2 linked regions of the Drosophila melanogaster genome follow. The protein of the gene in region 2 interacts with the protein of the main gene of each other region in a pairwise test. Each region holds a gene or a part of one and is shown on either strand. Other genes may lie near its edges. The genes, in order: Sf3b3 and Spt7.

Region 1 (8,105 bases), on a different chromosome or scaffold from region 2:
ACCCTGTAAAGCACAGACATTAAAGACAGGACAAAATCACATTTTCCATTCATGCATACCTGCATCTTAGCTGATCTCACAAAGGCCTTATTCGAAGTCACAGTGAAAATTTGCCTGGCCATGCCGAAACTAAAGATTTTCAGACTTCGCTCGTTTACGTTGGCAGTGAAACGTATGTGGGAGAATTCTTCGGGTATTGTTTCCACATCCGGATAAACGGTGACCCGTTTCATCAGTTCCTCGGCTCGCTTCCGTTCGCCCTCGCCGCCTACAATATCCAAAATACTCTGGAAGGCATCGTAGGCTAACTGGCAGCAGACCAAGGTTTTTCCCTCTAGGATTTTCTCGAGGAGCGGTTTTAGCGGCGAGGCTCTTTCCCTTTCCGCCTGTTCGGTGAGCAGAGGTTCCTTGTAGACCCAATTGGCGGATCCGTTGGTGAGCGCACTAACGTAGGCCAGCAATGTGGTCACATCTAGATTCAGTTCGTTCGACGTCGTGGCGTACATATCCAAGTCGGTGTCTGGTGAGTCCAGGGAAGCAGTTTGTACGCCCATTTCCATTAGCTCTTCATGCAGGGAGTCCTCGATTTTGTTGGAGAAGTAGAATACTATCTAAAAGGCAGTATATCAGATGATGAATGCTGTCTAGGGTAGCATACTATTAGGCATTACCTTCGGCCTCTGGAACATGCAGAAACTAAGTTCGCTGGCCTCCAGATAATCCTCCGCCTGGTCGATGACACTTCGGGCTCCGATGCTGACACATCCCCTGGCCGCGTCCTCGACGGACTTCGAGTTCCTGGCTATCACCTTCACCCACTTGAGTCCATTGTTGGCCACGATGTCGACTCTCAGGGGACTATCCCTAGACTCCAGGCGGAATACGGCATTGATGTCGACTACTCCTTGTTGCAAACGCAGAGTTTTAATGAGAAAATCGTAGTAAACAAAGTTACTGCTGGTTATGTGGTGTTCCTTTACGGACCTTGTAGTAATCACCTTGAAGGAAAATGCTTTTACTCAATGTTTTTATCATGAAAAATAGGCAAACAAACCTTATTTAGAAATTTGAGCTCTTGCTGAATTTTTCGCTGTACTTTGCTGACACCAGGCAAATCTTCGAAGTCTTTCAGCGCTTTCTTCAGCTCCTCGCCCAGTTTTACTTTCTTGTGGGCTTCTTCGTAGAGCTTTTCTCGATCCTCTTGCTCCTCCATATTAAAACGTTAGCAATATTTACAAAAATCACGAAATATTTGTTTTTAGCTGTCAGCTGTTTTGAAGAAGCAAAGATGCAATGACATTTCAGGTTTTACAACACTGACAATTCCATGACTGATTAGAGATGTCGCGAATCTGAAGTTGGTATATCGATAGTCAACAAACCTAGTTTACTAAGTAATAATTGATGATTTTTCTAATTAGTCTAATAACATGAGCCAACGCCGCGTAAAAATATACTCAAGTAGAGATCGAATAAACAGAAAAAAATAGTTGGGGACTGATCTATTTATTTTTTTTAAATACCTTTAAAGTTTTCTCCTTAATCATACCTTAATAGCATAGTATTGAGCCCAGCCCTTTAGCCACAATTCGGTGAGTGGTTTTGTTTTCATTTAAGCCCATGATAAAAATTTTTTAAGTTAAAGAAAGATAAAACGATTGATCCAGTACATATTTTTACAGATCCTTGAAATTTTCCATTTTTTCACAGAAAATTGCATATTATATGTTTAGCTTTTGAGGCAGTTTTTGGTATGTGGAACTGGGATTGGCCCATGGCAATTTCCGAATATTTAAATGTGGTATATTTAATAAAGGATAAATTCGATATATCTTGACCAGGATTTTTAGGAAACTTATGATTTCTGCAGCAACAATTTCCAGTAAAATAATTATTTAATTTATAATCAGTCTGAACCGGGCCTATTATCGATAGGAAAATCGACGGCCGCGCACTATCGATAAGTCAAGCCACATTTTATGCACCACCATTTTTACTTTTATAGTTCTTTTACTTTTTGTCGGCGAACAGAGCAGATGTGAAAATGAAGAGTTCTGAGTAATCAGGAAAATTCGAATCCAAAGGCATCGCTGGTGAAATGTGCTAATTCATCCATTTAACCAGCCGAAGGTAAACAAATACACGTGCTAGCACTGATATCTACTATTATTTAAGCGCTTTCCGCACGAAGTATCTCCAGAAATCAGAAATGTCTGTGCTTTGGTCGCATTTGAAGCGTGCTAAACTAAGAATTAAATGCTGCTTACTAGCATCGTTAGGCGACACGACTTTCCATACTGTGGCCATGGTTTTCAAAGTAGTACAAATTCACAAAAAAAAAAATACACCGCCATTCACGTGACTTTTTCCCTTGTCTGCAACTGTACCTAACCTCAACATTGCTTCTCTTGCAGTCGTGGACAAAAGTGAAAGAGTGTAGTGCTCCACCATGTATCTGTACAACCTGACCCTGCAGAAGGCCACCGGCGTGACCCACGCGGTCCACGGCAACTTCTCCGGCGGCAAGCAGCAGGAGGTCCTCCTGTCGCGTGGCAAGTCGCTGGAGCTACTGCGTCCGGACTCCAACACCGGCAAGGTGCACACCCTGCTCTCCACGGAGATATTCGGATGCGTTCGCGCCCTGATGGCCTTTCGACTGACGGGCGGCACTAAAGGTGAGTCTTTCAATTGTAATTTAGTTTTGTACCATCAATTGGGAGTAATGTATTGCTCCTATATAATCTATGTAAGTCGCACAAATCCCTATTGAGGCAACAGACGGCTAGTTGACCCCAGTAAGACCTTTGAACGCGTCTAAGTGCGAGAGAAACCGAAAGACTTGACGTCGCATTTGCCATAAACCAACTCAACGGAGTGGCGAATTGAAACTTCGAGTTACAAAGTCAATAAAATATCATTATAGTCATTAGAAAGTGTTAAATGTATGACCCTAATCTCGAATATCGTTACCTTGCTTTGCAGATTACATAGTTGTGGGCTCGGACTCGGGACGCATCGTGATCCTCGAGTACAATCCCTCCAAGAATGCTCTTGAAAAAGTGCACCAGGAGACGTTCGGAAAGTCGGGATGTCGCAGGATTGTGCCTGGGCAATACTTTGCCATCGATCCTAAAGGAAGAGCCGTGATGATTGGCGCCGTGGAGAAGCAAAAGCTGGCCTACATCATGAACCGGGACACGCAGGCTCGCCTCACGATCTCATCGCCCCTGGAGGCCCACAAATCGAATACACTGACATACCACATGGTCGGCGTGGATGTGGGCTTCGATAATCCCATGTTCGCCTGCCTAGAGATCGACTACGAAGAGGCCGACATGGATCCATCGGGTAAGCATCAACTAGGTGGCGTGTAGACCCTAGAAGGCGCTTTAATTCACAGGTTTAGTGGATCCACACCACGAACACTGACTGTACTTAGTGCCAGATAAATCGTGATCACTGAACCATTGGTGTTGCTGTAATTGCCTAGCCACACTTCACTGATTTGTGACCCACACTTCCTAATCTCAATTGATAACATTTTGATAGTACAATGCTATAGTCCTGTAACTAATCAGTGTCGCATCTATTTGTTCCAGGTGACGCCGCCCAGCGCACTCAGCAAACGCTGACTTTCTACGAGTTGGATCTCGGCTTAAACCACGTGGTTCGCAAATACTCGGAGCCCTTGGAAGAGCACGCCAATTTCTTGGTATCCGTGCCTGGGGGCAACGATGGTCCTTCGGGCGTGCTGATCTGCTCGGAGAACTACCTAACGTACAAGAATCTCGGCGATCAGCACGATATCCGCTGTCCCATTCCGCGCAGGAGAAACGATCTGGATGATCCCGAACGTGGTATGATCTTCATCTGCTCGGCCACACATCGCACCAAGAGCATGTACTTCTTCCTGCTGCAGACCGAGCAGGGAGACATCTTTAAGATCACCCTGGAAACGGACGATGATGTGGTCTCCGAGATCAAGCTAAAGTACTTCGATACAGTGCCGCCGGCAACTGCCATGTGCGTGCTAAAGACGGGTTTCCTGTTCGTGGCCAGCGAGTTTGGCAACCAGTGAGTATCTACAAATCATTCATTTGAGAATAATATGAATGGGTACTAATTGAGGTATTTGTGTAACCCTCAGCTATCTATATCAAATCGCTCATCTGGGTGACGACGATGACGAGCCGGAGTTCAGTTCGGCCATGCCTTTGGAGGAGGGTGAAACCTTCTTCTTTGCGCCACGTGCCCTAAAGAACCTGGTGCTTGTGGATGAACTGCCCTCTTTCGCACCGATCATCACCTCCCAGGTGGCTGATCTGGCCAACGAGGACACACCGCAACTGTACGTTCTTTGCGGACGAGGACCGCGTTCCACTCTGCGGGTGCTGCGCCACGGCCTCGAGGTGTCCGAGATGGCCGTTTCCGAACTGCCTGGTAATCCCAATGCGGTTTGGACTGTGAAGAAACGAGCTGATGGTGAGTGTGTCTGCGGGCATTAATCATGATTCCTAAGCTAAGATTAGACTAAGACTGAAACGTGGCTAATAACTCAACTGGTGCATTGATACAGATCGAGATATAGATTACACCTAGCTTTACGCACGATTCCAAACAAGTCCCACAAGTTATCAACCACCAGTTCTCTCTTATTTCAGGCGCTTAAACACAGACGGCAATATGTGTGAACTATCGAAAAAGACAAGCGATTAAAGAGAATTTCTCTCGTTTGTGTAATTTTAAATTGTCTTTTGTGAAGCGATAGGTAAGGCAACATTTACTGCAGCTCATAAGTCAAACAGATACTACAACTACCACTGCTACTATACCAATGAAAACAGAACAAAAGCTAACTATATTTAAGCCAGTCGGACATTGAACATGATGCGATATTTATCAACCGTGTTTCAGCTGAATTATCCATTGATTACAACTTGATAAACTGATTATTCAATGTCTTGTGTGATACGCAGATCTTTTTCGCTTGCTCGATTCAAACTGAAGTACTCACGTTCCAAGTATTGTTTTGCTCCCCTATTTTTTAGACGAGTTTGATGCCTATATCATCGTGTCCTTCGTGAATGCCACCCTGGTTTTGAGCATTGGCGAAACCGTCGAGGAAGTCACGGACAGCGGTTTCCTGGGCACCACGCCCACGCTCTGTTGTGCCGCCCTGGGCGATGATGCGCTGGTTCAGGTTTACCCCGATGGCATTCGACATATCCGATCCGACAAGCGTGTGAACGAGTGGAAGGCTCCGGGCAAGAAGTCCATTACCAAGTGCGCCGTGAATCAGCGCCAGGTGGTCATCACCTTGTCGGGCAGGGAGTTGGTCTACTTCGAAATGGATCCGGTAAGCAATTCTACTACTATATTACACTCAACTGTTGACTTCTTGCTCTGATGACAAAAACACGAAAAGAACAATCATGTTGAGACACTATGTGTCCTGCAGTGCTGAGCTTCAAAATCAACCAAAAGCCTTATCCTCGTTTACTTAACTTCACAACTAATGAATACATTTTATGCTTGCAGACTGGGGAGCTGAACGAGTACACGGAACGTTCCGAGATGCCTGCTGAGATTATGTGCATGGCCTTGGGAACTGTTCCGGAGGGCGAGCAGAGATCCTGGTTCTTGGCCGTCGGCCTGGCGGATAATACAGTGCGCATCTTATCGCTGGATCCCAACAACTGTCTCACTCCCTGCTCCATGCAGGCCCTGCCTTCGCCAGCCGAATCCCTTTGCCTGGTCGAAATGGGTCACACGGAGAGCACGACTCAGGGAGGTTTGGATGACGATGCTCCCGCTCAGCGCAGTGGCAACAATAAGGGAACCATTTACCTAAACATTGGCTTGAGCAACGGTGTCCTGCTGAGAACTGTGCTCGATCCTGTTTCCGGAGATTTGGCAGACACCCGAACGAGATATTTGGGTTCCCGACCCGTAAAGCTCTTCCGGATCAAGATGCAGGGATCCGAAGCGGTGCTGGCCATGTCCAGTCGAACCTGGCTGTCGTACTACCACCAAAATCGATTCCATTTGACGCCTCTGTCTTATGAAACCCTTGAGTATGCTTCTGGCTTCTCGAGCGAGCAGTGCAGCGAAGGTATCGTGGCTATATCCACCAACACCTTGAGGATCTTGGCCCTGGAGAAACTGGGAGCCGTCTTCAATCAAGTAGCGTTCCCCTTGCAGTACACTCCACGTACCTTTGTAATCCATCCGGATACGGGACGCATGCTAATTGCCGAAACCGATCACAACGCCTACACAGAGGATACGAAGAGTGCCCGAAAGGAGCAAATGGCGGAGGAGATGCGCAGTGCAGCTGGCGATGAGGAAAGGGAGTTGGCCCGCGAAATGGCCAATGCTTTCATCAACGAAGTCCTTCCCGAGGACGTGTTTTCGTCGCCCAAAGCAGGACTGGGTCTTTGGGCCTCGCAAATCCGTTGCCTGGACGCAATGCATGGTCAGACGATGTTTAGTGTGCCGCTCACCCAAAACGAGGCCATTATGTCGATGGCCATGCTGAAGTTCTCCATAGCGGCTGATGGCCGGTACTACCTGGCCGTGGGAATCGCCAAGGATCTGCAGCTGAATCCCAGGATTTCGCAAGGCGGCTGCATAGATATCTACAAAATAGATCCCACTTGCTCCAGTCTGGAATTCATGCACCGCACGGACATTGACGAGATTCCTGGAGCCCTGTGTGGCTTCCAGGGTCGTCTACTAGCTGGCTGCGGTCGAATGTTGCGAATCTACGATTTCGGCAAGAAGAAAATGCTGCGCAAATGCGAGAACAAGCACATTCCCTATCAGATTGTCAATATCCAAGCCATGGGTCATCGTGTTTACGTGTCGGATGTTCAGGAATCAGTATTTTTCATACGCTATCGTCGCGCGGAGAACCAGCTGATTATATTTGCCGATGACACGCATCCTCGATGGGTGACGGCCACCACCTTGCTGGACTATGATACCATAGCCATAGCCGATAAGTTTGGCAACCTGAGCATTCAGCGATTGCCCCACTCCGTAACGGACGATGTGGACGAGGATCCAACGGGCACCAAGTCTCTGTGGGATCGTGGCCTGCTGTCAGGTGCTTCACAGAAGTCGGAGAACATTTGCTCCTTCCATGTGGGCGAGATAATCATGTCGCTGCAGAAGGCAACGCTAATTCCTGGAGGATCGGAAGCCCTTATATACGCCACGCTAAGTGGCACTGTTGGAGCATTTGTTCCGTTCACCAGTCGCGAGGACTACGACTTCTTCCAACATCTGGAGATGCACATGCGCAATGAGAATCCTCCACTCTGTGGACGCGACCATCTCAGCTACAGGAGCTCGTATTATCCGGTCAAAAACGTACTCGACGGCGATCTCTGCGAGCAGTATCTGTCCATTGAGGCAGCCAAGCAGAAGAGCATAGCTGGCGACATGTTCCGCACTCCCAATCAGATCTGCAAGAAACTGGAGGATATTCGCACGCGATACGCCTTCTAAGGTGAGTTGGAATCGATATGCCTATGGGACATAGGTTTTTGTGATGACATAGCTATTTTACCTTGGGACACCTATGAAATGCCTTGATTAGCGTAAACGTCAATATCTGATAAATACTTTGCTGAATTTAGTCTTTTATGATTATTGAACAGAAAGCTAACAATTGTTTATATTTTGCAGATGCCAGCAAAGGAACACTTCAATATCATGGAAACTTTTCTTTTTTAACTAGGTAAGTTGGTTTCTATTTATAGTTGTTTTCAATGATGATTTTCGAGTTTTACCTTGGGACACCTATGAAATGCCTTGATTAGTGTAAAGTTATGTTTTTCTGATAACAAATTCAAGCGTTTATTGATTGAAAAGCAAAGAAATGTTATTAATTTTGTATTTCTCTTTCTATTGCAGTTTTCGTGGGCAAAACCAACAAACGCTGCACCTAAAACGTTTTAAAGGTAAGAAATTGTAACGATTAAGCCACATTTTCGTTGAGTTAAACAATGATGTTATTTTACATATGTTAGACTAATGAAATGATTTGATTGTAAATTAGTAACTGAGAATGTTTTTAAAATTAAAAATTTCAATACTTA
Region 2 (3,857 bases):
GGCCACTAGGAAGGACGAAGCACAGCCGGTAAAAAGTGAACGCTACGTGGAGGATCAGGACGCGCCTGCCAGCGATCTGCAGATCTCGCAGGAGATGCAAACGCACATTTGGCGCAGACTGAGCGGCATAATCCAGGAGCAAATCGAGTTCTCTCTGGATGTACCCAATGGCGTAGGCAAACAGAAGCCCCCACCCGACAAAGTCAAGCTCGTGTCCAATGCCGATTGCTATTTGATCGCCGATTTGGTGGTGGAAGGTCCTGCAGGTCCGAAAAAGAAACCTAACATAAGGAGACGGACCCCCGAAGAAGACCAATCCGCGCCCGAAGCTCTGGACTCTGTGGTGGTCACTGGCAACTCCATACTGGAAGGCAGGGACCTGCTGGCGTGGGCCCAGAAAAAGACGCGCCACGACAAAGTGTTCCAGTACAGAGCCAGCGATCCGAATGCAACCAAACTTGTGGCCATTGAACCCACCAACGAGTTCACCAAGCGGAGGCGACAAAACAACTGGAACGAGTCGAGGATTAGCAAAAAGATGAGCAATAAACAAAACACGTAATAAAAACTATTTAATTAGTACGTTTCCTTAGAGCTTAACTTAACTTGAGCCTAGAGATCTTAGTCGTTCTATAAAAAGTGTGAAACATTTGATTGCTAGAGATATCTCAGTGTGAGATAATGAAGTTATCCCCGCAATTTTAACAATTACGTTTCAAAAGTGGCGTGAAAGTTGCTAATCGTGGCCCCATTGCCATTTCCATTGCCGCCCGTGCTGCCATTGCCGCTCGTCCCCGTCATGTTGGAGGTATTGGACGATATCTGGCCATCGAGCAGGCCGTACAGCATCTGCTGGGAGCTGACTGTGCCACTGGAGCCCGTGCTACCGCCCAGATCCTGCAGCATATCGCCCATGGCCATGCCGCCTATGCTCTGGCTGCTGCCTGTGGCGCTGTTGTCCAGGATGTTGAGAAAGTCGTGGCCGTTGAACTCGTTGTGCTGCTTCTGCATGCTGCTCTGGCTCTCCTTCATCAGTTTGTCGTACTCCTGCAGTACGCTGTTGAACTCAGCGATCTCCGCGCGATTCCTGGCCAGCACCTTGTGCTTGTAGTAGTTGTGCACCTGGGTGAGCGAGGTGCCCGTTTGGGCGAAATGGGCGCGCTCCAGTGGGACCAGCTGCAGCACCGTGGAATTCTGCAGCCGCGGCTGACTGTCATAGTAGCCGCGATACTCGCCGATAAAGCTGCGCAGGAACTCCTCGGTGGCGTCCGTCAGCAGTTGCACCGCCGACTCGGAACAGTCGGTGAAGCCGGCCAGGCGCAGCATGCCGCACATCACCTTGCGCATCGCCTGGCGGCAAGCAGAGCTGGGGATCTCCGGATATGCCTCCGGATCCCCGCGAGAGTAGGCTGTGTCCACGGTTGGTGTGAACCAAATGGGCTTCTGAAACTTTTGGCTGCCCACCAGTTCGGCTGCGTTCTCCGGCGGAAAGTCCACTTCCGGTATCATTAGGCACGGATTCAAGAGGTAATTGGAACTTCCCTATGAATTCATTGGGTAAATTAGGTAAATACTACGGTTAAACAAGAACCAAGAACTTGCATTTTTGTTGGAGTACGTTTCAATGAGGGACTGCAGCACCTCGGTTTGCTTCATCACCTCGATGGTCTGGGTGACCAGCGCACTCCTCAGCTCCAACTTGTGGCTACATGGAATATATGGTTAGTTTACCGGCTGCGTTAAAGCTTTTCTTTAGATTTATTTACTGCTTTTCTTGCGGTTGCGGATCTCCGCGCTGGCGAATCTCGTCCAGCTTAAGTTTCTTGGCCGCCGTGGGCACGTATTTGTCCGGCGTCAGTTGACCGCCGTCATCCTCTGCGGGCAGCGAGCCCCAGTGCTCTGTTTGCATGTTTATTTCGCTTAAAAACCTACGTACAACATTTACTTAACAATATATTGTTGTTTACTTATCGGGCCCTAAAATAACATGGTTGGTTATCGGGACTATCGATAAGTTTGCTTGCGCTGGGAACGAAATACTCAACTCATTGAACCAAACAGCTGATTGTCGGTAAACATCGGCACGGCCTGCAGCGGCATCTGGCAACGTTGGCCTCGAACGTTTCGTTTTCGATAATCAGAAAGCGCTGTCGTAGCTAAAGTAAATAAAGGTTATGATAAAATAGCAACAATTTGGGAAAAACCCCATACTCAGGACAGCTGGTTCTAACAATCAGGTCGCGCTTGTATTTTTGTGGCTCACGTCACACATACATGTATTCGTTTTTTCGGCCGCTGTGACAAATGGCAACGCCACTGCAGCTGGACAAGCACACAGGCATAAAATGTAATTATTTGTTTTCGTTTCACGAATTTCAAAGGTAAAAACCGATCGCAATACGTGGTGGGCAAGATAACGCAGCGACGCAGACGACGAGTGGGACTGTCCGGCGGATTGGCGGCAGCGGGATACGGCGGATACAACGGCAATAAGATGCACCAGGAGCACATGGACCTGCATGAGCCCGTGGACTTGAACAAGGTGAGTCTTTTCTAATGGGAATCGAATAGGAAGCCCCACTCTACTGCCAAATTTTCCCTCTTCCCTGCAATTCCCTGCTAATGCGGATGTCCATCAGTCCCTGGACGAAATGACGCCGGAGGAGCGAATGCGGTAAGTGAAGTGGCCTTAGAAAATCCTTTAAATCATAACAAATTTTCGGCTATCCAATCGAACAGAGCGCAGCATCAACTGATGGTGGAGAAACATCGCGGCCACGATGCCATGCACTCCGAGATGGTGATCATTCTGTTCGTCACCCTGGTTATTGCCCAGATCATCCTGGTCGAGTGGAAGAAGCGGCACTACAGATCCTACGCTTTCGTCACCCTGCTGGCCATGTGGCTCATTCCGCTGATCATCTCCTGCAGCTTCGGCTGGCTGCGCTTCATAATCATCTGGCTGGTGTTCACCTGCATCACGGCACTGGTTATGCGACGGGCCATCAGCAAGCCCATCCAGGGCACAACGCCTAGGTGAGTCAACGTAGATAAGAACGGCGACCGACGAAGGCCAGATAATAACCCATAAAATCCAATTTCAGGCTGGTCTACAAGTGGTTCTACTTCATCTACAAGCTCAGCTATGGCCTTGGCCTGGTGGGCTATCTGGTGATCATAGCCGCCTTTCTGGGCATGAATTACATGTTCTCACAGCCACCAAACACATGGATGGATGTGGGCCTGATGTTCTGCTTCTACGGCCTGTACATCGGCGTCCTGGGGCGTGATATATCCGAGATATGTTCGGATAAGATGGCGGCAGCTATTGGCGTGAGTTGACCATTGGCCAGATACCCAGTTGGAATCTTCTAACCCTCCCGTTTGTCCCACAGTACTACACACCTCAGGGTATTCCAACACGACATCTTGATCAGAATGTCTGCGCAGTGTGTGGCAATCAGTTGCTGGTCTCGGAGAAGGAAGAGGGCGTCATTGAGAACACCTACAAGTTGTCTTGTAACCACGTATTCCACGAGTTCTGTATACGTGGTTGGTGCATTGTGGGCAAGAAGCAGACGTGTCCCTACTGCAAGGAAAAGGTCGATCTCCAGAAGATGTTCCGCAATCCGTAAGCCATTCAGAGCCATCCGTTTGACTGGCCTACTTAATATTGTTTCTCCTCTAGCTGGGAGAAGCCGCACGTTTTGTACGGTCGCCTGCTGGATTGGATTCGTTGGCTGGTGGCCTGGCAGCCGCTCATCTTTTTCATAGTACAAGGCATCAACTGGATGCTGGGACTGGAGTAGATCCTGATACCGGCACTAGCTTTCCTCGGCGTCTAGTCAAGCACACAC

What was found.
Region 1: the proteins of Spt7 (region 2) and Sf3b3 interact in a two-hybrid assay, tested with the Drosophila melanogaster proteins (one study listed by BioGRID).

What each region holds. Positions count from the first base shown.
Region 1 is NT_037436.4:827,285-835,389, reverse strand, and holds the start of Sf3b3 (splicing factor 3b subunit 3), read left to right. Parts: upstream 1-2,004; 5' UTR 2,005-2,130; intron 2,131-2,180; exon of another isoform or gene 2,181-2,328; intron 2,329-2,414; 5' UTR 2,415-2,449; coding exon 2,450-2,675; intron 2,676-2,750; exon of another isoform or gene 2,751-2,903; intron 2,904-2,982; coding exon 2,983-3,348; intron 3,349-3,381; exon of another isoform or gene 3,382-3,520; intron 3,521-3,599; coding exon 3,600-4,074; intron 4,075-4,147; coding exon 4,148-4,482; intron 4,483-4,661; coding exon of another isoform or gene 4,662-4,669; exon of another isoform or gene 4,670-4,768; intron 4,769-4,878; exon of another isoform or gene 4,879-4,953; intron 4,954-5,048; coding exon 5,049-5,356; intron 5,357-5,397; exon of another isoform or gene 5,398-5,538; coding exon 5,539-7,512; 3' UTR 7,513-7,513; intron 7,514-7,546; exon of another isoform or gene 7,547-7,626; intron 7,627-7,692; 3' UTR 7,693-7,744; intron 7,745-7,769; exon of another isoform or gene 7,770-7,853; intron 7,854-7,920; 3' UTR 7,921-7,967; intron 7,968-8,006; exon of another isoform or gene 8,007-8,078; intron 8,079-8,105. Other genes in the region: CG42553 (uncharacterized protein), read right to left, coding at 1-3, 60-611, 672-998, 1,055-1,213. UniProt on the Drosophila melanogaster protein: Involved in pre-mRNA splicing as a component of the splicing factor SF3B complex, a constituent of the spliceosome. SF3B complex is required for 'A' complex assembly formed by the stable binding of U2 snRNP to the branchpoint sequence (BPS) in pre-mRNA.
Region 2 is NC_004354.4:17,848,593-17,852,449, reverse strand, and holds Spt7 (Spt7), read right to left. Parts: upstream 1,991-3,857; 5' UTR 1,910-1,990; coding exon 1,767-1,909; intron 1,706-1,766; coding exon 1,603-1,705; intron 1,543-1,602; coding exon 709-1,542; 3' UTR 563-708; downstream 1-562. Other genes in the region: CG32554 (uncharacterized protein), read left to right, coding at 1-562; CG15814 (uncharacterized protein), read left to right, coding at 2,495-2,542, 2,640-2,674, 2,740-3,036, 3,105-3,333, 3,396-3,631, 3,689-3,809. UniProt on the Drosophila melanogaster protein: Component of the transcription regulatory complex SAGA, a multiprotein complex that activates transcription by remodeling chromatin and mediating histone acetylation and deubiquitination. The SAGA complex predominantly acetylates histone H3.